Linked DNA regions of Schizosaccharomyces pombe. The gene in region 3 interacts genetically with the main gene of each other region. Each region holds a gene or a part of one and is shown on either strand. Other genes may lie near its edges.

Evidence for each region.
Region 1: mutations in SPOM_SPAC2F3.16 (region 3) and atf21 together harm fitness more than expected from each alone (negative genetic interaction), as found in Schizosaccharomyces pombe (one large-scale study listed by BioGRID).
Region 2: mutations in SPOM_SPAC2F3.16 (region 3) and etf1 together harm fitness more than expected from each alone (negative genetic interaction), as found in Schizosaccharomyces pombe (one large-scale study listed by BioGRID).
Region 4: mutations in SPOM_SPAC2F3.16 (region 3) and vht1 together harm fitness more than expected from each alone (negative genetic interaction), as found in Schizosaccharomyces pombe (one large-scale study listed by BioGRID).

What each region holds. Positions count from the first base shown.
Region 1 is NC_003423.3:1,720,476-1,725,649, forward strand, and holds atf21 (Atf-CREB family transcription factor Atf21), read left to right. Parts: upstream 1-2,537; coding exon 2,538-3,605; 3' UTR 3,606-3,975; downstream 3,976-5,174. Other genes in the region: mrpl35 (mitochondrial ribosomal protein subunit L35), read right to left, coding at 1-2; mRNA guanylyltransferase Ceg1, read left to right, coding at 4,372-5,174.
Region 2 is NC_003424.3:4,516,551-4,521,329, reverse strand, and holds etf1 (electron transfer flavoprotein alpha subunit), read right to left. Parts: upstream 2,309-4,779; 5' UTR 2,285-2,308; coding exon 1,259-2,284; 3' UTR 1,200-1,258; downstream 1-1,199. Other genes in the region: Sm snRNP core protein Smd1, read left to right, coding at 340-353, 397-446, 503-792; anaphase-promoting complex subunit Apc14, read left to right, coding at 3,034-3,357; omt2 (4-alpha-hydroxytetrahydrobiopterin dehydratase), read right to left, coding at 3,498-3,788.
Region 3 is NC_003424.3:3,954,579-3,960,272, forward strand, and holds SPOM_SPAC2F3.16 (ubiquitin-protein ligase E3), read left to right. Parts: upstream 1-2,520; 5' UTR 2,521-2,564; coding exon 2,565-2,864; intron 2,865-2,933; coding exon 2,934-3,266; exon of another isoform or gene 3,267-3,321; coding exon 3,322-3,426; exon of another isoform or gene 3,427-3,488; coding exon 3,489-4,028; 3' UTR 4,029-4,849; downstream 4,850-5,694. Other genes in the region: P-TEFb-associated cyclin-dependent protein kinase Lsk1, read left to right, coding at 1-840, 887-977, 1,044-1,722, 1,774-1,837; protein Mtl2, read left to right, coding at 5,320-5,694.
Region 4 is NC_003424.3:4,957,443-4,963,037, forward strand, and holds vht1 (plasma membrane vitamin H transmembrane transporter Vht1), read right to left. Parts: upstream 3,469-5,595; 5' UTR 3,359-3,468; coding exon 1,652-3,358; 3' UTR 1,256-1,651; downstream 1-1,255. Other genes in the region: SPOM_SPAC1B3.15C (vitamin H transporter), read right to left, coding at 1-274. UniProt on the Schizosaccharomyces pombe protein: Involved in uptake of biotin and desthiobiotin with the concomitant entry of protons.

The DNA.
Region 1 (5,174 bases), on a different chromosome or scaffold from region 3:
ATCCTTGCAATGGTAAAAGCTAAGTAATTAACGGTATGGATGTGTATAGGAATAGAATAACACAAGAGGGTATAGCGCAGTGTAAGGAATGCTAATGCACAGCTTTTTCGATATTTACGGTTATACAAAATAAAATTAGAAATGGAAACTGTGGATGTTAAACATGTTAATTGGAAAAGGTCAATCATACCGAGTCCCTTCAAGGTTATGACCAAAGTTTTAGTGGTAGGTTTAAGCAACAATTCTACTCCCGTAAGCTGCTTCTAATGGGAACTAGACTGTAGCAATAGCGTTCATGTTTAACCAAAAGCTACAAGTTATATGAAACGGTCATTTGCAAAAGTCAGTAAGTTTCAATGACTATAATGAAAATATATTGACTCGACGACACATAGTGAATCATGAGTCAGAGTCCGTATGAAGTAATATGTTCCTAATTTGACGGCTGCATTGAAAATTCAGCAATCGGAAGGAATGAATAAGAGAAAAATATTCAAAAGAAGTGAAATAGCTACGTGGGTTAATCAATAGTGTCTACGTCCAATTATTATCTGAGGTATACACATGCAACAATCACGGCATTTACATCTCAGTAAATTAAAATAAAGAAAAATAATATCATTAAATTAAGTCAAAAGGTTTAAAGGTGATATCCTATGAATTCGGGAAATTGCCAACTATATCTTAGATAGTCACATTTCTACCAAATTGACGTAGAGCTTAATTAAATATTCCAGATGTTGCTAAAGTATTCTCATATTGTCAACTGCGAAGTTCAACATCTTTCGATTTGCAGAACTGATTCAATCCAGTGGCTAACTCATGGTCGTATGTACGATCCGTTCTGTCTATTTTGATTTAATGTGACCAAAAGTTAAACTTCATCTCGTGTATAGTTAAAAGATATGATAGTATACATACTAAAAATGAGAATTCTGGCAAACCAGATTTAAATCAATAACATGTTACTCTTGCTTGCGACAATATAAGTAAATGTGGGCAAGAAAGATGAAGAAGTATTAGAAACAAGTTGCGGCTAAATTTTGAGAAAGGATTGATAGCGGAAAGGCTACTAATAGTAATGATATGAGCTATTATTATCAGTAACGATAAAGCCGTTTATGGTGGCGCGCGTAAGAGAACGACAAAATTTGAAGCCTAGGTAGTTTCATCAAAACCATTAAAGGAAATAAATATGAAAAAAGCTAGCAAGAGAGGCGATATTATATTTTCGCATTCACAACTTTACTATTGACGACTACGAATACCGAGGGATAGCGTTATTATCTCTCCACAAGTAATCGGCTATTTTTTGATTGGTTTAAATAAAAGTAAATCCTGATTATATTTGACATAATCTGCATCAAATAGAACTCTAGATTTTCCTTTCCGAATATGGTGGCCAATTAACGGTACGACTGTGATGTAAATATTACACAGTGGAGCGACACGTGAATGTAGTCCCCTTCGGTTAGCTCCTTAAAATGGAGGCCTTAAAGGATAATACTGCTTGACTTTTTTAGCATAGTGCCTTTGTTAATTGCAACAAATCCCTTCAAACAAAAAAAAAATAAATTTTTATAAAGAAAAACTTTTTATTTCTATACGGCAAGTTCATCTCATAAAGTAAACAAATCATTTCCCGATTGGCTACCCTAGCCCTTCGTTTGTTTGTTTTGCAGTGACGTCAAAATTCATCTCACCCGATCAACATATATAAACATTGCGACACAAACCAAAAAGTTACCGACTGCAGCATCATATTTCTCAGCAGAAACGTATTCTTATAGTAATCCAAGTCCAAAATTAAGGAATTGGTATCTTAAACCACCTTAGTACATAGTTCTCTATTGTTTATAAGCCTCTTTACTTGCCAGGGACGCAGTAAGACATTGCTTCCTTCACCACCTTCATTATCCTTTACCTTCTTTCTCTGTCCACCTTATATATATATACTTATTTTCCCAGGAATCCTCACTTTTGCCATTAATCCATTCCATCCTTCTGTAGAACGACGAATTGTCATCCCTTCCTTTATCGTTCGTTCATTTCCTAAAACCGGGACACTACTGCATGCTTAAAACAGAGGAAAAATAAAGAGAGAACACATTTATATAATTGAAAGAAACTTTTCCATTGATAGCTCCTAAGTTTCAAATCACCAACTTGTCGGTTTATACATTCTTCATTTTCTTTTATTTACTTTTTTGAAGAAGTTCACAGGGATCACTATTCAGAAATTTTATACAAAGATATTGCATCCTTATTCATCAATCCAAATTTGCGTCACTTGATCGACCACAATTTGCTTCATCTTCCCTTCCCAATTTGTTTCGCCAGCACCTGAATAACATAGCCTCTTTTTAAGATTTAACCTTCTTCAAGAAATCACTACATATTCGCACTACTAACAAAAAAGAAACTTTCGCTTTTTATTTAGTCCGTTCTTGTATCAACTATCTTCATCGGCTTTACCGTCGAAACCATTTCAACCGCACTCAATAGAAAATTAACTTGCTCATCATCAATCTTCCATCATGGATTTCGCAAATGTGTATCTCGGGTTAGATACACTAGGTAATGAAGGATATGGTGCTAGCGTCAGTAATGGCACTCACCATGATTTTCATTTTAACTTCAATACATTCCGCGATGGTGGTAACCATGAAGTTGGAGAAAAACGCGCTGAATCTAGCGATATCGGAGTATATGAATGTAGAGGTCCAGTCCAGGGACCTAAAGATCAAACATCCTTTCCCTCGAATTCACATAATAACTACGCTTCAATAGTAGGTGATGCTAGCATTGGACATTACCTCAAAGGACCCGAGCGTACTTCAGAGGTATCATTACCTCAAACGGTAAACCTTTCGGAGATTTCTAACAATAATGACAAAGGCCAGCCTACAAATACTCCTCCTGTACGCTCAACAATTGTTGCACCTTCATTATACTCTGAAGGTAGTACTTTGAATCATTATAATAATGGATCTCATCAAGTGCTTCATCCACAATTCCAAAATGGAACCAACGCCCCATACGTAGTGCAGTCAAATCTTATGCAAAACAATGTTAATCTAACAGGAGCGGAACAAGAAAAAGGTTTGGACCTATATAAGAATTCCGCTACTGCGAATAACGATGAGATTTTCTATAATCTTGAATCCTTACGTAGAGAAGGATACTTAAACTCCAACAAGAAGCAGTCTCAATCTCCAAATGGAGACTACAACAGCAGCGATGAGTCCTGTTCCAATAAAACCGTCGCCTCCAGTCAACGACGGGGTACACCTGGCAGTAACAATGTTCATACCGCTAGTAACAATGAAACTCCTGATATGAAGAGGAGGCGGTTTTTAGAGAGAAATCGAATAGCCGCATCGAAATGCCGCCAAAAGAAAAAGCTTTGGACACAGAATCTCGAAAAAACAGCACATATCGCATGTGAGCAGTCGAAAGCTCTAAGGATTTTAGTCAGCCAACTACGTGAAGAAGTAATTTGTTTGAAGAATCAACTATTAGCTCATCAAGATTGCAATTGCGAAGGAATTCGACAATATCTTTCTTCAGAGGCTCAAGGAATTATGTCCTTTCAGAAACATTGAGCAAATGACACCCCATTGAATCAAGTTTCGTAACATTTTTTTATTATACTGTATATGCATTTCTGAGAGCCTGGATAGAATCTTGCAATAGGAGATGCTTAAAAGACGGCCAGTGCTGCTCTACTGCTTGTCTATAGTAATTGTACTTTAACTCTGGCATATTTTATTTTTCTTTTTTCACAATACTATTATTTTCTTCGCGTCACTGTGTTCATGGGATTTGCAATCTCACTCCAAACTCGTTTCATTCAATTGCTTGGGTTTTTCATTCATGTTTCTTCATTAAAAGTGTTTATGTTTCGAAGATCCTTTACGCACGTTTCATTTCCAGATTAATAATTACTGTAATGATATATCTTCCCTATATGTATTTTTTTAATAGGTTACGATTGCTTTACGAACTTGACCTAGATGAGCCAAATCTGTAATCACTGCCATATAATCTGTACCTCGTTCACAGACATGTCATTTTATCTTCAGTACGACACCACAGTTACATATATTGTTTGCTTTGGAATAAAAAAAAAATTAAGTAATAGAATAACACTTTCTGAAGTAAATGGTAGAAAAGATAACAGTATTCGTAGAGCAGCTATAATTATATGCATTTTTGCGTTTTGCAGCAAAAGATCACTATACTGCATAAGGAATTTTTATACAAACCATGTGTCTTTATTTAGTACATTAAGACTATATCCCGTTTCTACTCCTTCAGAAAGTGCTTAAGCCCTCTCTTAGCAAAGAAACGAGTGTATTATTAAAAGGAATGGCACCCTCAGAGAAAGACATTGAAGAGGTATCAGTCCCTGGAGTTTTAGCACCGCGCGACGATGTGAGGGTTTTAAAGACACGAATTGCCAAATTATTAGGAACAAGTCCTGATACATTTCCTGGATCACAGCCAGTTTCTTTTTCAAAGAAACATTTACAAGCATTAAAAGAAAAGAACTATTTCGTATGTGAAAAAAGTGATGGAATTCGTTGTTTACTTTATATGACCGAGCATCCTCGGTACGAAAATCGACCCAGTGTATATTTATTTGATCGTAAAATGAATTTTTATCATGTTGAGAAAATTTTTTATCCAGTTGAAAATGACAAATCTGGAAAAAAATATCATGTTGATACACTTTTGGACGGTGAGTTGGTTTTAGATATCTATCCAGGTGGTAAGAAGCAACTGAGATATTTAGTCTTTGATTGTTTGGCATGTGATGGAATTGTTTATATGAGTCGATTGCTTGACAAACGCTTGGGAATTTTTGCTAAAAGCATTCAAAAGCCCTTAGATGAATATACAAAGACTCATATGCGCGAAACTGCCATATTTCCTTTTCTCACATCGTTAAAAAAAATGGAGCTGGGTCATGGTATCCTAAAGTTATTTAATGAAGTGATCCCCCGACTTCGTCATGGTAATGATGGACTTATCTTTACATGTACGGAAACTCCTTATGTATCTGGCACTGACCAGTCGCTTTTGAAGTGGAAACCAAAAGAAATGAATACAATAGACTTTATGCTAAAGCTGGAATTTGCACAGCCTGAAGAAGGGGACATTGATTATTC
Region 2 (4,779 bases), 560 kb from region 3:
AAAATTTGATGCCTTAAAGCTCATTCGAGTATTGGGTTCGAAACCCATTTATTTAGACTAATGAGTGCTTTCACTTAATTATTAAAATTAGTATCAAGCTTTTTCAACAGTCGAATCTGTATTAAGAAGTCTTAGCTTCTCAACTTTATTCTCAGATACTGGAAAAATAAATGCACATGAAGATCAGCCTATTAATATCACAAAGCTATTTTGGACTAGTAAAACTTCAGAATCCATTATATCTTAACATAAAATTGATGATTTTATCTATTGTTGATGTGTTTTAGTCGAACATAATACTTGATTTTTGCAGTTGCCAGGAACACCAAAGCACACACCATGAAGTTGGTACGGTAAGTATGATAAAAAATCTATACATATTCCTAACGAGTTTAGCTTTTTAATGAAGCTGACGAATGAAACTGTCTCTATTGAGTTAAAAAATGGTACGTAAAGCCTTACTTTCGTATAATAAATGAACCAAACTTACCAAATCGCGTAGGCACAATTGTTCACGGAACGATTACTTCTGTTGATATGCAAATGAATACCCATTTAAAAGCTGTTAAAATGACTGTCAAAGGTAGAGAGCCAGTGCCTGTAGAAACTCTGTCAATTCGTGGAAATAACATACGCTACTACATCCTCCCAGACTCGTTACCACTTGATACCCTTTTAATTGATGATAGCACAAAGCCAAAACAAAAGAAGAAAGAGGTAGTACGAGGTCGTGGACGTGGACGTGGCCGTGGAACTAGAGGCAGAGGCCGCGGTGCTTCTCGTGGGTTTTAAATATTATGAAAATATTCTCTTTTCGCACCCTTATTTTTGTCAGAGAATTTAAAATTATTGGCAATATCAATCGGCCTTTGCATTTTATTTTCTTTTAATAGATTTGCTTTGTGATGACATTGAAGTATTGCTGAGAGTGTATGCGTATTCTATGTTTTCCATGTTTCTATCATTTATCTCTGGTTAAATATCTAGACCGCTAAAAAAATCCCTTTCTTTCTCATACGTTGAAATGTTTGATAATCAACCTACGATAGCTTTGCTGAGGTGGCTTCATAAATGTATGTATAAAACGACTTCAGAGTTGTTTCACTGGTATATAATTAAATATTACATCAAAAATTTCCTTAATTTATTACGAGTACCCAGTTAAATAAACGTGTATTTTATTAACTTCTAAAAAGATGTGAAATTTGAAATAAATGTGATATTATGAAAAATAAGGAATCATTCCTCAACATGATTTTCAAAGTTTTTCAGTAAGCTCCGGGACGATTTCAAATAAGTCACCTACAATTCCCACATCTGCTGTTTGAAAGATAGGAGCATTTTCATCGCGATTTATAGCAGCAATGACTTTGCTATCTTTGATTCCGGCAAGATGCTGAATAGCACCATCAATTCCAACAGCAATATAAAGCTTTGGGGCGATGATTTTTCCAGTTTGACCTATTTGTAAAGAATTATCAGCATAGCCAGAATCCACGGCAACACGTGTAGCACCAATTGCTGCACCCAATTTGTCAGCCAAAGGTGTAAGGATGCGTTCAAATGTCTCTTTGTCTTTCAAAGGTCGACCACCAGCAACAACTCTTTCGGCAGAAGACAAATCAGGCCTAGCATTCTTTATAATATTCTCACTAACCCATTCTTGTAGAGCAGCTGGTTTTGGATCAATACCTTCAACAACAGTGGCTGCTCCTTCACCACTTGAAGGAGCGGCGTCAAATGCAGATGCACGAACGGTGACGATTTTAATAGGATCCTTTGTAGACACAGTAACGTTTACGTTTCCCGCGTATGTCGGACGAACGAATGTGTCAGCAGAAACCACACCAATAATGTCACTAATCTGCATCACATCAAACATAGCAGCCAAACGAGGCATCACCCCTTTACCAACAGTTGAATGAGCAGAAAAAACATGACTAATTTCATTTTTCTTAACATTTTCAAAAAGAACATTGGCTATTTGATCGGGAATGTTATGCTCATATGACGGATTCTCAACGTAGATAACCTTTTTCAAATCGTTCACCGATTTTGCTACCTTTTGAGAAATTTGAGAAGAATCCTTACCGATTACAAATCCAAAAACATCCCCACCGGTACGCTTTGCTGCTTCTACTGCTGACAAGGATGCTGGAGACAAGTTCCCTCCCTGATGCTCAAGCAACGTCAAAACACTAAACCAATGCCTTCTTCCACAATTTATTTTAAAGTTAGAAGAAGACAAAGCCCTAGAAAATGTCCGGCTAGTAGTCCTTAGCATGTTAGAATACTTCGTTGTAGGTTTGAGGGTGAATGAGGATGTACGCTGACAATATGTATGTTCACATATTATACTAAGAAAAAACTTAAGTAATACAGTCTTACATTTCAAAGGTAAAATAACTAAAAATAAGTAATCGTGATATATTTAAGTGATTTATCTACCAGAAATGATTTTTCGTGAGTATGAAAACATCCTAATTTTCATATACCTTACATTTATTTTTTTTGATAACCAACTGCCAATATTTTGACAAATTCTTTCAATACAAAGTTTAAAGTCTATAGCGATTGCAATAACTAGGTGCATCATTAAAAATAATAATAATGAAAATTCTTTTCAAATAAAAAAAAATATGAGAAACTCAATGTATCCTTCTTAGCATTACAGTTATTGAATCGTTCATCAACGTTAAAGTTCACTAAGATATTAGGAGACAAAAGGTGACTTCACTATTTTATTTTAATAACACACTCCACATTCTTATACCACAAGCATTGCTTTCTAACGATGGCAAGGAGTTTTGTTCAACTACGCACACAAGATAGTAAATAAACAAGAAAATCGGTGAAATTTCCTAATCACTTGTCCAAACCTCTTCACTTACTGCTTAAATACAAAAGAGATTACAATTTTCATATTTAAACGGTTCTCTTTTAAAGAAGAACAAATCAATGATTGAAGTCATTGTCTCTTAGTACTCACGGGGGTTTTTTTTACTTTTGTATATTAAAACGTTTCGAGGTCATATGGATCCGTTTGCTGGTACTGGTCAGTCCAAAAGTTATCGAACTTTTGGAAACGTCTTTCAAAGACTCTCCATGTCTGGCAACCCAAAACCTCTCGCCAAGAAACCACTTCTACTCCCTGAAGCTTCAAAAGCCATTGAATTTTGGAATTATCGAGATGTTATAGGTGGTGAAGAGGCCGAGCAAGAAAGAAATGAAAGGGCAAGTAGAATTGCAATATCCAGAATTGCTTCCAGCAGAAGTTCTATTCCAGAATACAGGCAAGCTATTATGCAGCATCTGACAAAACATGTTCAACAACTTGACCAGTTGGCTGAATGGTGATTAATGAGTTTATGATATAAATTCTTATCCTTTCAAACACCACATCACTAAACACTAAATTAATTCAAAATATTAAGAATAATTTCTGGCAATCTGTGTCTCAAGATAGTTTTCCGCTACTACCCTCTTGGTTGCAGCTTTCAGTTATCCTTTGCAAGTGTATCAATAAATTCTGCCAGCTTTAAATCTTTTTCTGTAAGTCCCTTTGTATCGTGAGTTGTCAACGTAATATCCACTTTATTGTATACATTAGTCCATTCGGGATGATGATTTAGCTGTTGTGCACGCAATGCGACACAGCTCATAAATCCCCAAGCTTCAATGAAGTTTTTAAAACGAAAGCTTTTAAATAGTTTTGTATCTCCTTGTTGAAGAATCCAGTTGTTTTTTGATTTCGAGACTAACGCCAGTAATCTAGCTGATGTGTTCATTTTTTCAACCTTCTAAACCAACGTTTATTCCAGAAAAAATGTTTTTCTTCAAAATTTAGGTAAAATATCAATGTGATGTGTGTAGAACGTAACTGTTTTAATACACTCAATTTACCTCCTTTTACTTTGGTATGTGAAAGAGAACGAAATCATATCGTCTTGTCTTATTCACAACATCAAAAGAGTAAATTTAGCTACTACGCTAAAAGAACCTCTTCTACAGAGGAGCATTAGAATTATATTTGTTAATTGTATAAACAGTTTCCTAGTTTTATTTCCAAAATAAATAAAATATGCTTGGTTTGGTCTTGTAGCATTTTATCCATCAGTTTTTATGGGTAAATAGTCATTCGCTCTTTTTAATGTTAAAATATTTTATTCATGGAACACTTCCTAATTTTTAAAAGTTTATCGACTTGGCTTCAACACATAGTGCTTCTATAAGTAACAAACATGTTTTAAAACAAGATATCAATACCATTAACAATATCATTTTATACATGGATCAATCATCCATTTATTCGATAACTATAATCAAATAACCTCCTGTTTGCATAAGAGAAAAGGTGAGACTTAGCTTACGAGACATTTATGAATAAAAATAAAAATACTTGTAAACAGTTAGGTTTCACTGCAGCAACATTCCAAATATCAAATGGGACCTTCAAACACAAAATTATAAAAACCCAAGACCGCCTCTTTTCTCGAGAAGCATGAAGCATTGAAACCAAACTCAAAAGGTTTCTTTCACGTCACTTATCAAAAAAATTGTGGAATTCCTTTGCTGACTGACATTTTCAAGCTCTTCAACTTCCTTTCACCCCTTCTTGTGTTTCGCTTCCAAGATGTATAAAATGAAGGAATTGTCATGTTGATTTTTCATCCTTTAAGAACAAGATTCCTCTTAGGTTTCTGTTCTTTCCTCAAATTCTCAATTGACATTTGTTGGTGATATAAACAACCATAGAGATAGAAGCGGTTTCTCAGGCCT
Region 3 (5,694 bases):
TCTTTAGGAGGCCACACCCTGTCCTCTAATGCTTTCAAAAATAATTCATCTAGTATATCGCCATCCTCATCTGCGAAGGATCCTCGAGAACAGCGGAAAAGAACATTTCCTCTCAACGATACACATTCTTCCCGAGCAAGACAGCATGAAAGACCTTTTCGTTCTCGAAAATCTAGAAGGAGAAAGGGTAAAAAGGCATTCAGTCCTAGACCTGGCTCACCTCCATCACCTTCCTTTTACCGCTCAGGTAGTCAAAAACGAGCACGTAATTTAACTACCAAGGATTACTTTGCCAAACGCTCTGAAAGCTCTTCTAGCGCCTCCGTCTCACCTATATCACCGTCCGCAAACAGAAATGATTCAAAAAGGCAAGCTTCTTCTTTTCGAAGGTCTCCGCCTAGTTCTGTACATATGAAGCCTTCAGCTTTTAACGGTCGAAAGGTATCGCGGAGACCTTCATCTTCTCCTCCCCCTATTCCTTCTATCCCTCATGAAACTACTTCCTCCGATACACAAAAAAAATCTAGCGTGTCTTCTGGCTTTCCAGAGAACAAACATGGAAAATTTCACTTTCATATACCTAATGAACGCCGATCTCGATTCGATCAACCTCCTTCGAAACGTATGGCACTCACGTCCACGGCCCGTGAGTCTGTTCCAGCTCCTCTTCCTTCTCCTCCTTCCGGCCCAATTTATACATATACATATCCAAAGCCTGCCTATGAGAAAATCGACCAAATTGGAGAAGGAACTTATGGTAAAGTATACAAAGCCATTAACACAGTCACAGGAGATTTGGTAGCTTTAAAACGGATAAGGCTGGAGCAGGAAAAGGATGGTGTAAGTATAAAAATCAAGCTCGTAACTAAATTGACTAACTTTCTAGTTCCCTATAACTACTGTCCGTGAAGTCAAAATCTTGCAGCGTTTGCGTCACAAAAATATTGTTCGGCTATTAGAAATTATGGTGGAAAAAAGTACGATTAAATACTGTCCTCATTCACCGTTTAATTATAACTAGTTCTAACATTTTAAAATTCTAGGTTCTGTATATATGGTATTTGAGTACATGGATCACGATTTAACTGGAGTCTTACTAAATTCACAATTACATTTTACTCCCGGTAACATAAAACACCTTTCGAAGCAAATTTTTGAAGCATTAGCTTATCTTCATCATCGTGGGGTGCTTCATCGTGACATTAAAGGTTCTAATATATTACTGAATAACAATGGTGATCTAAAATTCGCAGATTTTGGTCTGGCGAGATTTAATACATCTTCGAAGTCGGCTAACTACACTAATCGCGTTATTACCCTTTGGTTTCGACCTCCAGAGCTATTACTTGGAGAAACTGCATATGACACAGCCGTGGACATATGGAGTGCTGGCTGTATTGTTATGGAGTTGTTTACAGGAAAACCTTTTTTTCAAGGGCGAGACGAAATCAGTCAGTTAGAGGTTATCTATGATATGATGGGTACCCCTGATGTTCATTCTTGGCCTGAGGTGAAAAATCTTCCTTGGTATGAGCTTCTGAAGCCAGTAGAGGAAAAGAAGTCGCGTTTTGTTGAAACTTTTAAGGAGATTTTAAGTCCTGCCGCCATTGACCTATGCCAAAAACTCCTTGCCCTAAATCCCTTTTGTAGACCGTCAGCTCATGAGACCTTGATGCATGAGTATTTCACTTCTGAGAGCCCACCTCCAGAGCCAGCAGTCATGTAAGTATAAAATTTATCGTTGAATGATATTTATCTAACTTATGTGTTTAGTTTGAAAAACATGCAAGGAAGTTGGCATGAATGGGAAAGTAAAAAACGAAAATCTAAAAGATAAATGAGCCAGAAAATTTTGTCAAGGCGAAGCTATGCAAGCTGGACAAATGTTTAAAAAAAATAATCTTTATATTTCATTTAATTTCTTTGTCTCGCTTTACTGCGGTCTATCTTCTATATATTTTGTTAACACTAGGCAGAGTAACAAATTTGTCTGATGCTGGACAACTTTTTTTCATTTTTTGCTCTCTTTTTCTTCCGAAAAAGATGAAATAAGAACACTAATAGCTCATGATAATTAAATGTTCCACTGGTTTATTTGACTATTATAACTCTTTCACCTTTTAAGAACTTAGAAATCAAAGGCTTGAAGTCTTGAAATGAGCTTGGTACTGTGTACAAAAAAGATAAATTCAAAGGACTCGTATGAATTTATGATGTGGTTTTCTTTTAATCAGTCAACCGTAGTAATAATAATTTGTTTACATATACTTTTTAATAATGTTAAGGTGCAGATGTTCTCAAGAGCCTGCTCAAATATTTAGTAATGATGATTTAACAATTAAGAGAGCAAAAATTAAGTTACTATTTGAATGCGTAGCTTAAAATTGATCAAAGTATATCTACGGCTTTTACAATAGTGTGATGGCACGGATATCACATTCCGCATTGCACTGGACCACACTATAAGTCAACACTGAACTGATCGAGGAATAGGTAAGCATTCCCCTTCTCCTTTTGATCAAGAACCATCATTATAACAAAAAAAACAAACACAAAAAAAGTCGATGTCATTGTCGGAGTATCTTCGTGAATTCGCTGAGATTTTTGAGGAAGCTGCACAAGAATTAACCTCAATATTCGAACTACCTCCTGACCTGTTGAAAGATATTACTGAAGAGGATGTTGGGACTGATGACTCTTGTAATAAGAAATTCCTTGAAGTTCAAAAGCAAAAAGAAGATGAAGAAGATGAAGAAATATTGAAAGGAGTGGATTTAACGCAGCAAGATTCCGTACGTGAAAAAATCCACGAAATACAATCGATGTCGCAATTGAGTGAGAAGAGAAAGGCCTTACTTATGCAGGTAAGTACATGAAATTAATCATAAAAGTGAGATTTAAATGAAAATAAGATTACTAAACTGGCTTTGTAGAAAATGCTGATGTCTGGTTATTTAAAATATCGACGAACTCACAAGAAAGAATCTGATGAGAACCAATTGAGCTCATCTGATCTTGAAAAGACTTATTATGACAAAGAGCAAGAAATTTTAGGGTGTTCTCATTACATGCGCAATTGCAAGGTTCAGTGTTTCGATTGTCACGAGTGGTATACGTGCCGTCACTGTCACAACGATGCTTGTGATCATGTTTTAGAACGACCTGCCGTAGAAAACATGCTTTGCATGATATGTTCCAAGGTTCAACCAGCAGCTCAATATTGCAAATACTGTAAGAACTGTATGGGCCGATATTACTGCAATAAGGTATGTGATATTTTATTTGATACTTGTTCAATATCACTAATACATGACTTAACAGTGCAAACTTTGGGATGACGATCCGAATAAAAGTAGCTATCATTGTGATGATTGTGGTATTTGTCGAATAGGACGCGGTCTTGGCGATGATTATTTCCACTGCAAGGTAACTTTCGTGTACTTTTAGCACATGCTTTGCTTTTTAAACTCATATTCTAACAGCTGTAGACTTGTGGCCTTTGTTTACCTATTTCGGTTTTCAATACTCATCGTTGCATCGAAAGAAGTACGGATTGTAATTGCCCAATTTGTGGTGAATACATGTTTAACTCTCGCGAACGCGTAATCTTTTTAAGTTGCTCTCATCCGTTGCACCAGCGATGTCATGAAGAATATATAAGAACCAATTATCGTTGTCCTACTTGTTACAAAACGATCATTAATGTCAATTCATTGTTTCGAATTTTAGATATGGAAATTGAACGACAACCCATGCCTTATCCCTATAACACTTGGATTTCTACCATCCGTTGCAATGACTGTAACTCACGTTGTGATACGAAATACCATTTCTTGGGTCATAAATGTAATTCATGTCATTCTTACAATACTTGTATTTCATCAATTTACAAACCTTTGGATCACCCACAGGTGTCTATCCCTCGACTGGCAACCGCTGAGGATGCCGGTATGCGACGGCTAATGGGACATTCTTGGGACAACAGCGATGAAGACTTTAATATTTTCGGGATTCACAGTTTTATATAGATTTTCTAACTTTATGAACTTCCTAAACTGTTACGATTATCCTATATGTACTATTATTTTGGAAAAGTTGCTATTTTCATTCAATTCTTTGCAAGAATTACGAATTTTTAACGTTTACCCCAATTGTCTGATTATATTTATTCCCTTTTCTCGTCCTTTTGCATCTACTTCTTATATGGTTTTTTTTCTCAACAAGTCAAGCGATGGTATGAAGTAAATCGCTTAAATTTCCTCGATGAAGAGAATTTCTGTTTTAATTAATCTAAACTCATCTACTTTTGTGTGAAGCTATGGTGTCTTGAAACATTCGCAAACATAAGGACTTTGCTTCATGCAATTCTGGGCCTCTCTCAATATTTCAATTTCCTGTTATTATGACTTATATGTTATTTGTCTTGATTTTTTTTACGGCTGGCATTCATTAAATAAAGAGTTTATTGTCATTCCATATTCATCTAATCCTTCAGATTCCTTTTAAACTGACTTTTTGTCTAGAAGATGCGATCATTCGTCAAGTTACTGCAACTATTCTTGTTACTTTTCTATCTGTCGTTGTGATTCTTTAGCAGCATCCAACTACAAAATTTTTTTACCACACTTGCAGTTGTCTCTTAAGAGCAGGTTTAGTAACGTGGATGGGTTGTTAGTCGGAGTTACTAGTCAGATGAAGCGATAATACTAATTTTCTACTATATCAATTTAATTTGGCATGAATAAAATTTCAATACATTGTTACTATGTAAGGTGGTTAACTCAATTACCGCGTGGAAACGATAGTGTCAAATGCAGCCATATGTTTCAAGCCAGTAGTAAATGGCATCTACTGTTGCGGATGTTTAGTAATTTAAAATTAGGGAAATCTATATGAATATTGCAGTATGTGAAAACTGTGGTAGCTTTCTCATTAAGCGCAAGTTAACGGCGATCTCTTTTTATCCAGCCATTTGAAATGAATAATTTGCCTTAGTAAAATTTCACCTGGTTCGTAACTTTAAGGTTCTTTGCTAGAGCATTGATAGGTAACATATTGGTAAGGTGAAAAAAAGCCTCGAAACTAACTCGGAAAGAATCCCCACATTGAAAAGTGCATCACCCTTACCTATAGGCAAAGCCAAGCAGGACCGCGACATTTTCTCTTTACCGCTTACTCTTCACCGTGCTTTTAAGGGAATTCATCAAGATACATTGAAATTGGACGAGATCTTATTATTTTTCTAGAAAAAAAATCCAACGTTCTTTTAAAAACTTCAAAAAACCTTCTTTCTGTAAGGGAATTCGCACGCAAGAGAAAATGTCATTCACGAACAATACTTCAAGTGTGGACACTTCCCTCAGCTCATCTGCTTCTAGCAGTATTCCGGCAAGCAGCTCTTCTGCTGCTGCTAGTACGAGTTTGAGTAGCTCAAGCGTGATTCCTTCTAGTTCGAGCTCTATGCTTTCATCGTCTAGTGCTACTGCAATTAGTTCTTCATCATCGTCTTCACCTCTTTCATCCTCATCTTTTACTTCTCCTGCTTCTTCTTCTTTTATCACATCTTTGGTCTCATCAAGCAGCCAACAAAGCTCTAGTAGCAGTGCTTCATTGACCTCTAGTAGCAGTGCTACACTGACTTCCAGTAGCAGTGCTTCCCCGACCTCCAGTAGTTCGAGTCACGCGCTTAGCAGC
Region 4 (5,595 bases), 1.0 Mb from region 3:
AAGGAATGTGAGGAGAAACATTGTTATTTCGTAAAGAAGCTGAAGCTTTTGTAGCAATGTGGGTTTCGTCGAGGGGAGCGGCAGAAGAAATATTTGATGGACTTAACGGTTGTTGACTAATTATAATGGAGGAGGCATTTGACTCTTTTTCGATGTGAGATAACTCGGGATTCGAAGTGGTAGAGTTTTGAGAAGAGAAGGGTTTCACGGTCGGGAAAGAGGAAGCAATTGATGGAGAGATAGACGGCTTGGGAGGTAAGGTGTTTGTGTCCATGTTTTCAAATTCCAAGGCCAACAAAAAAGAAACAGTAAAGTGAGTTTTACGGAACAATAAATAGGAGAAATAGGAGAAACAGGAATGAAATAACTTTAGATTAAATAAATATTAACCAGACCAATAAAAAAAATATGAGCCACGTCTAAAAAATAAATCAAAACCGAACCGAATTAGATCCAAAAATAAATAATCAATGTAAAACAAAGTCTAGCGAACTTAGCATACACCACAGGCAAATTAACTAAGAATTGTCTCAAGCAGTAGAATTCATACAGACTACCAAAAGCACAATATTAATAAATAAGGGAAGATCTATAAAAAATCTCAATTGCACAAATCCTACGAGTAATGTTAAGCTAACTAACAATTAACTGGGAATGCTTCGACTTCCACTCCACAATGCAGTGTGAAAGCCTACTTCTTTTAAGTTATGGAGAGGAATGAAACTTTCTGCTTCACTTCAACTTATAAACGGAGTTTCGGCTCTGGATTAGTCATTCTTCAATCTAACGATTCATCATCATTTAGCTGAAATCGCAGTCATGATTAAGAGACAATTTACCCACGTCGTTCTACGCTAACATCCTGTTGGTTATTCAAATTGACGAGTGAATAAGCGCATTTTCGCTCCATTCCACAAAGTTGAAACAATGCAATTTTTCACATTTTCAATAAAACGTGGTAAGAAGACCCAATGAGCTAGTCACCCAAGTTCTCAGTCGGAGTCGTAAAATATGCAAAATTTTTTAGAATCCGGTCCTCGTAAAAAGCATCTTTATATTAACTTAAGAACTTGGATATGGGTACAGTGAGTAGTGAGTGAATCTTCAAAGATGCGATTGTGTATGGGAGCATATAAAATTGGTAGAGTTACAGTACAATGTAGTGATAGATAAATAACTAGAATAATGAGAAAGAAAAAAAATAAATAAATAAAGAGAGTAAAAGGGATTTAAATTGAAGGAAATGATATTTTTGAACCTGAAATAATGTGTTGTGTATATAGAAACTTAATAATAAAATGAATGCATTGAGGATACCACAAAGTAATTATTCCCAAAATAAAAGAAAAAGAATGATAAACAAACAACAAAAGAAAAAACTACGAAGAACGAGGATCGGTTGATTGTTTCAACTTGTAAAATTTCTCAAGACAAGAAACCCGGTCTCTCATAATCGACTTTTAAAATAATAGCGTGTTATCACAAAAAGCATCAACATTAAAATTTGTAGCAAAGAACAAACAATAGGAATATGGTTCTAAAAAAACGTAGATGAGACTTTTAATACGGAGGAAAGTGAAGAATATACGAACCCTAAGGATGGTCTTGTTCTTTGCTCCTTCGACATATCTATATTCGTTCTTGCATAAGGTCAAGCGTCAGCCTGTTGGGAAGAAGGAAGCGCGGGCTTAATATCGGTCATCTCTTGCTCGTCTTCCACCTCATGATCATGGTTGTTAAAACTAGCGTTGAATTGACCGAATCCAGTCTTATCCAGCAAAAATTCAATACCACACGCTATTATGGAGACACCGATCAATGCAATGCAGACATCATTACTTTTACGGAAGGTAGGATCACCAGGCCAGCCACTGTAAAGAGCATATGTCGTAACGACAGATCCCAAATTGCCCAAACCCGTCACGAGGGCCAAGCTGGAAGCCACGCCTACATCGCCATAGGTTTTGGCCATGGAGGCGGAGCACCAGGCCATACAAATGGGAACGGTTGGACCAAGACCAAATCCAATCATGAGTAAACCACCATAGCGTGACCAGGCACGAGGAGCGTAGTTAGCAACGGCAAGGCCGGCGATGATGATCAAACAGGATCCCGTGAAGAAGGAAAACTTCTTATGGAATCTGTCGTACAATGGCATAACAGTGACAATGCCCAAAGCGTCGGCAAGCCAAATAGGAGCATTCAACAACGAGATATCGATACCGGAAAAACTGGGGTTAATCTCTTCAATAATCAAAGTACAATAGTTGAAGATACCATTACCCACACCGACGATACCAAAGTACATGAGAATAAAAGGCCATACGCGGAGATCCAAGCAAGACTTTAGCAAATCAGACCATTGCCACCGCTTACCAACATTCATCTCTGCAATGTATCTAGAATGAAGGGATTTGTCGGCAGGCGTGAGGAAGCCAATTCTCTGAGGAGACAAAGTTTTCATCCATTTGGGTAAGGGAATAAACGAGCTAAGCGACTTTCTATGCTCCTTTGAAGCAACTGCCGGCAACCACCAGGGAATGGATAATGCTTGGGCAATAGCAACGACTCCCCAGATAAGGAACATCCACTGGTATCCATACAAGCCGCGAGCGCCATCCATCTTTTGGAAACCAGCTGAAACCAAACTGACGGCTGCTGCTGCAATTTGAGCAGCCGTATAATACCAACCAATACGTTTACCCAAGTGCTTGCCCCTATACCAACGGCTCATGTAGTAAGCCAAGCCGGGCCATAAGCCGGATTCAGCGACACCTAAGAAGAAACGTAAAGCGACATAACTTTGCGCATTACCATGTTTCGTTCCCAAAACTGCATGGCAAGCACCAACAACACCAATGGTGAGTTGGATACGAGACACCCAAATTCGGGGCTCGATAAATGCCATCATCAAGTTGGAGGGCACCTCAAAAATAATGTAGCCAACGTAAAACAACGCCAAACCCAAGGCGAGATAGTGAGCTGAGTAGCCAGAAAGTGTTTGAATAAGACTGTGGCCCTGAGCCGTATTCATGGTAAACGAAAGTGAGACAGTAAAACGAAGACAACAAGACAAAAAGTAAAGAATCCAAAGACATGGAATGATACGAAGGTCCATTTTCAATCTTAATTTCTGTAACCTTCGCAATTCGCTACTAGTAAATTCTTGCTCTTTTACCGTCGTTTCCGCACCATCGTTAAAAACATTGAGATCAGACGAATCGATTACTGTCGTCGAAAATTGATTCTTCAATGAGGGCTTTGAATCTGATACGCTTTCGACAATTTCAGGAATATTAAGTTTGGGATTCTCCTCAACTGAGGAGGCCCTCGATGTTTCAGGCCATTCTGAAGCCATTATTTTGAAATTTTCGGGAATGACAGATGGATATCGAGACAGTGATGGCTTTCCAATACTTTTCTAAATGTGGTGGATTTTAACCAACACAACCCCGTTCACTTCAGCACGAAGAATTGAAAATTAGAAAAACGGCGCATATATATACTAATGAAGGGCGTCAATATTGCTACCTGGCCAACTTACTTTAATTGCAATGAAGATTGCGACAAATATTAAAATACAAAAAAACCCGTCACTATTCTTTATGAAATTTCGCAACGGCCAGGTCTCGTCAAATCACGGTATCTTAGATTGTGAAAGTTAGCGAAATGAAGGATAAGAAATAAATATCGCTTAGATCGTGGGAAATATATGGAAGCAGAGGCGTCTAAACTTTTGAATAAACTTCGCTCAGAAATAGAAATAGATCGAATTCTATAGTAGTATTAAGATTTAATGAAGATGTTTTTAAAACGGGTAGTCGAAACGTTGAGCGATTGTTCATTCAAACGTACACCAGCAACAGGTATTCTATATACTAATATAAAGATTTTTGGATCTTTCAAATATTTTCTTTAAGAATAATTATAATATTATGAAGGTATATGATGTCGTTTTTCTCTCTAATATTATTTTTGTCGACAATATAGATCTCTTATTTTGTTTTAATTATGTAGAGCTGTTACATAAATCACTGATTATCATTCACTATAATTCTTTTCTCAAATACCTAGCCTTCAAATGTGCCTAATATTTTTCCTTTGCATTCTTCGGCATCATTGCAAACTAGTTCTCCAGCCGGTCGACTTTTTTTGATAGCCGCCCATATTAGTTTTCTTCCACGATCATATCTCTTCATGGAATACCGTGATACATCTACGTGTGTGTTTGAACAAGCCGCTAATCAAATGCTTCAAAGTATAATGTGTTGGTACGCTAGTGCGGATTGAAAATCTAGACAGATCCGGAAAGATCAATTCCATTAAACAATACCGCTCTATCTTTCATTAATTTCCAAAATAAAAGTATTTTTAACAACAATGAGGTAGTAAGATAGCATAAAAAAGAAATTTCTATTTAGGAATCAATTGCTTTAGCCATTCATCTTAACGATCTTCAATGTGGAACATACTCCAAAATTTAGAATTCGTTTACGATTCAAAGTTGTTACTCGTTATTGTTTTAGTTCATGTCGATGAAAATAGTAAGTATCCGAACGATTTAGCTTGTTGATCGTAATAAGATTAAATTTAGTAGGATATAATTTGAACGGCAATATCATTTCTTCATTACGAAAGTTACTACACGATTCAACATGTCATAGGTTCATAAATCACTTTACCCAACAAACTCATACTTCTCATTGAAATTATTTTCGTTCATTATTAATCTTTAGTGGATTCAGCAAGGGATAGCTGATGAATTGGAGATAAATGATATATCCAATTTGCTATTGGCGAAGATATCAATTCACCAAGTAGCGTTGGTTTTCTCGATAATAAGAGTACGAAGGTTAAGTATGAGAGCAGTGCTCTTTTTTCAGCAAATTCCCTGTTTAATTAATACATTTAAGCAAATTTTTTATCTTTTAAACCCGTTCATTTACAGTTTCATTTCTTAATTTTTGCCCCTTTTTTTTTCGTTTACTGCTTTTGCCAGTTCTGTTATTTCAATGTCATGCTTGTTTTGCATGTTCTTTTTTGCAAATCACCCCTACAATGAATTTTTGAATAGAGCAACGATGTTAGATCTGTTGCATCCATCCTGGCGTGAGAATGAGAAAATATTGCTCGTTTCGAATGTGCTTGCAAAAATAACAGAAATCGTAGGGAGCATCTCGGATGAATTCAAAAGATCACTAATGAAACCTTGTGGATTTTTTTTAGCGATCAGCGATTAGTAAACTTTGTGGGAATCGCCAGTTTCGTCAAAAACTACTAAATGTTAAAAGAGTGTATGGAAAAAAATTTCACTGTTGGAAAAACTAACGGGATTATGCTTAAAACGATGAGAAAAATGCAATACCCACACTTGACTTGTAAACTCATTCATTGCAATATACGTTTGCTTATTTGTTGGTGCCTGGAAAACAAAAGAGAAATTAATAACCTAAATTTAAAAAATAAAATAGAAAAAGGAACGTTACATAATACAGATGACTAGTTTTCTGTGTAAAAACAATAAAATAAAAAATAATGGTAATTAATAAATAATACAATTTTGGATATTGATCGTCATTCTAGTTACTATTTGGA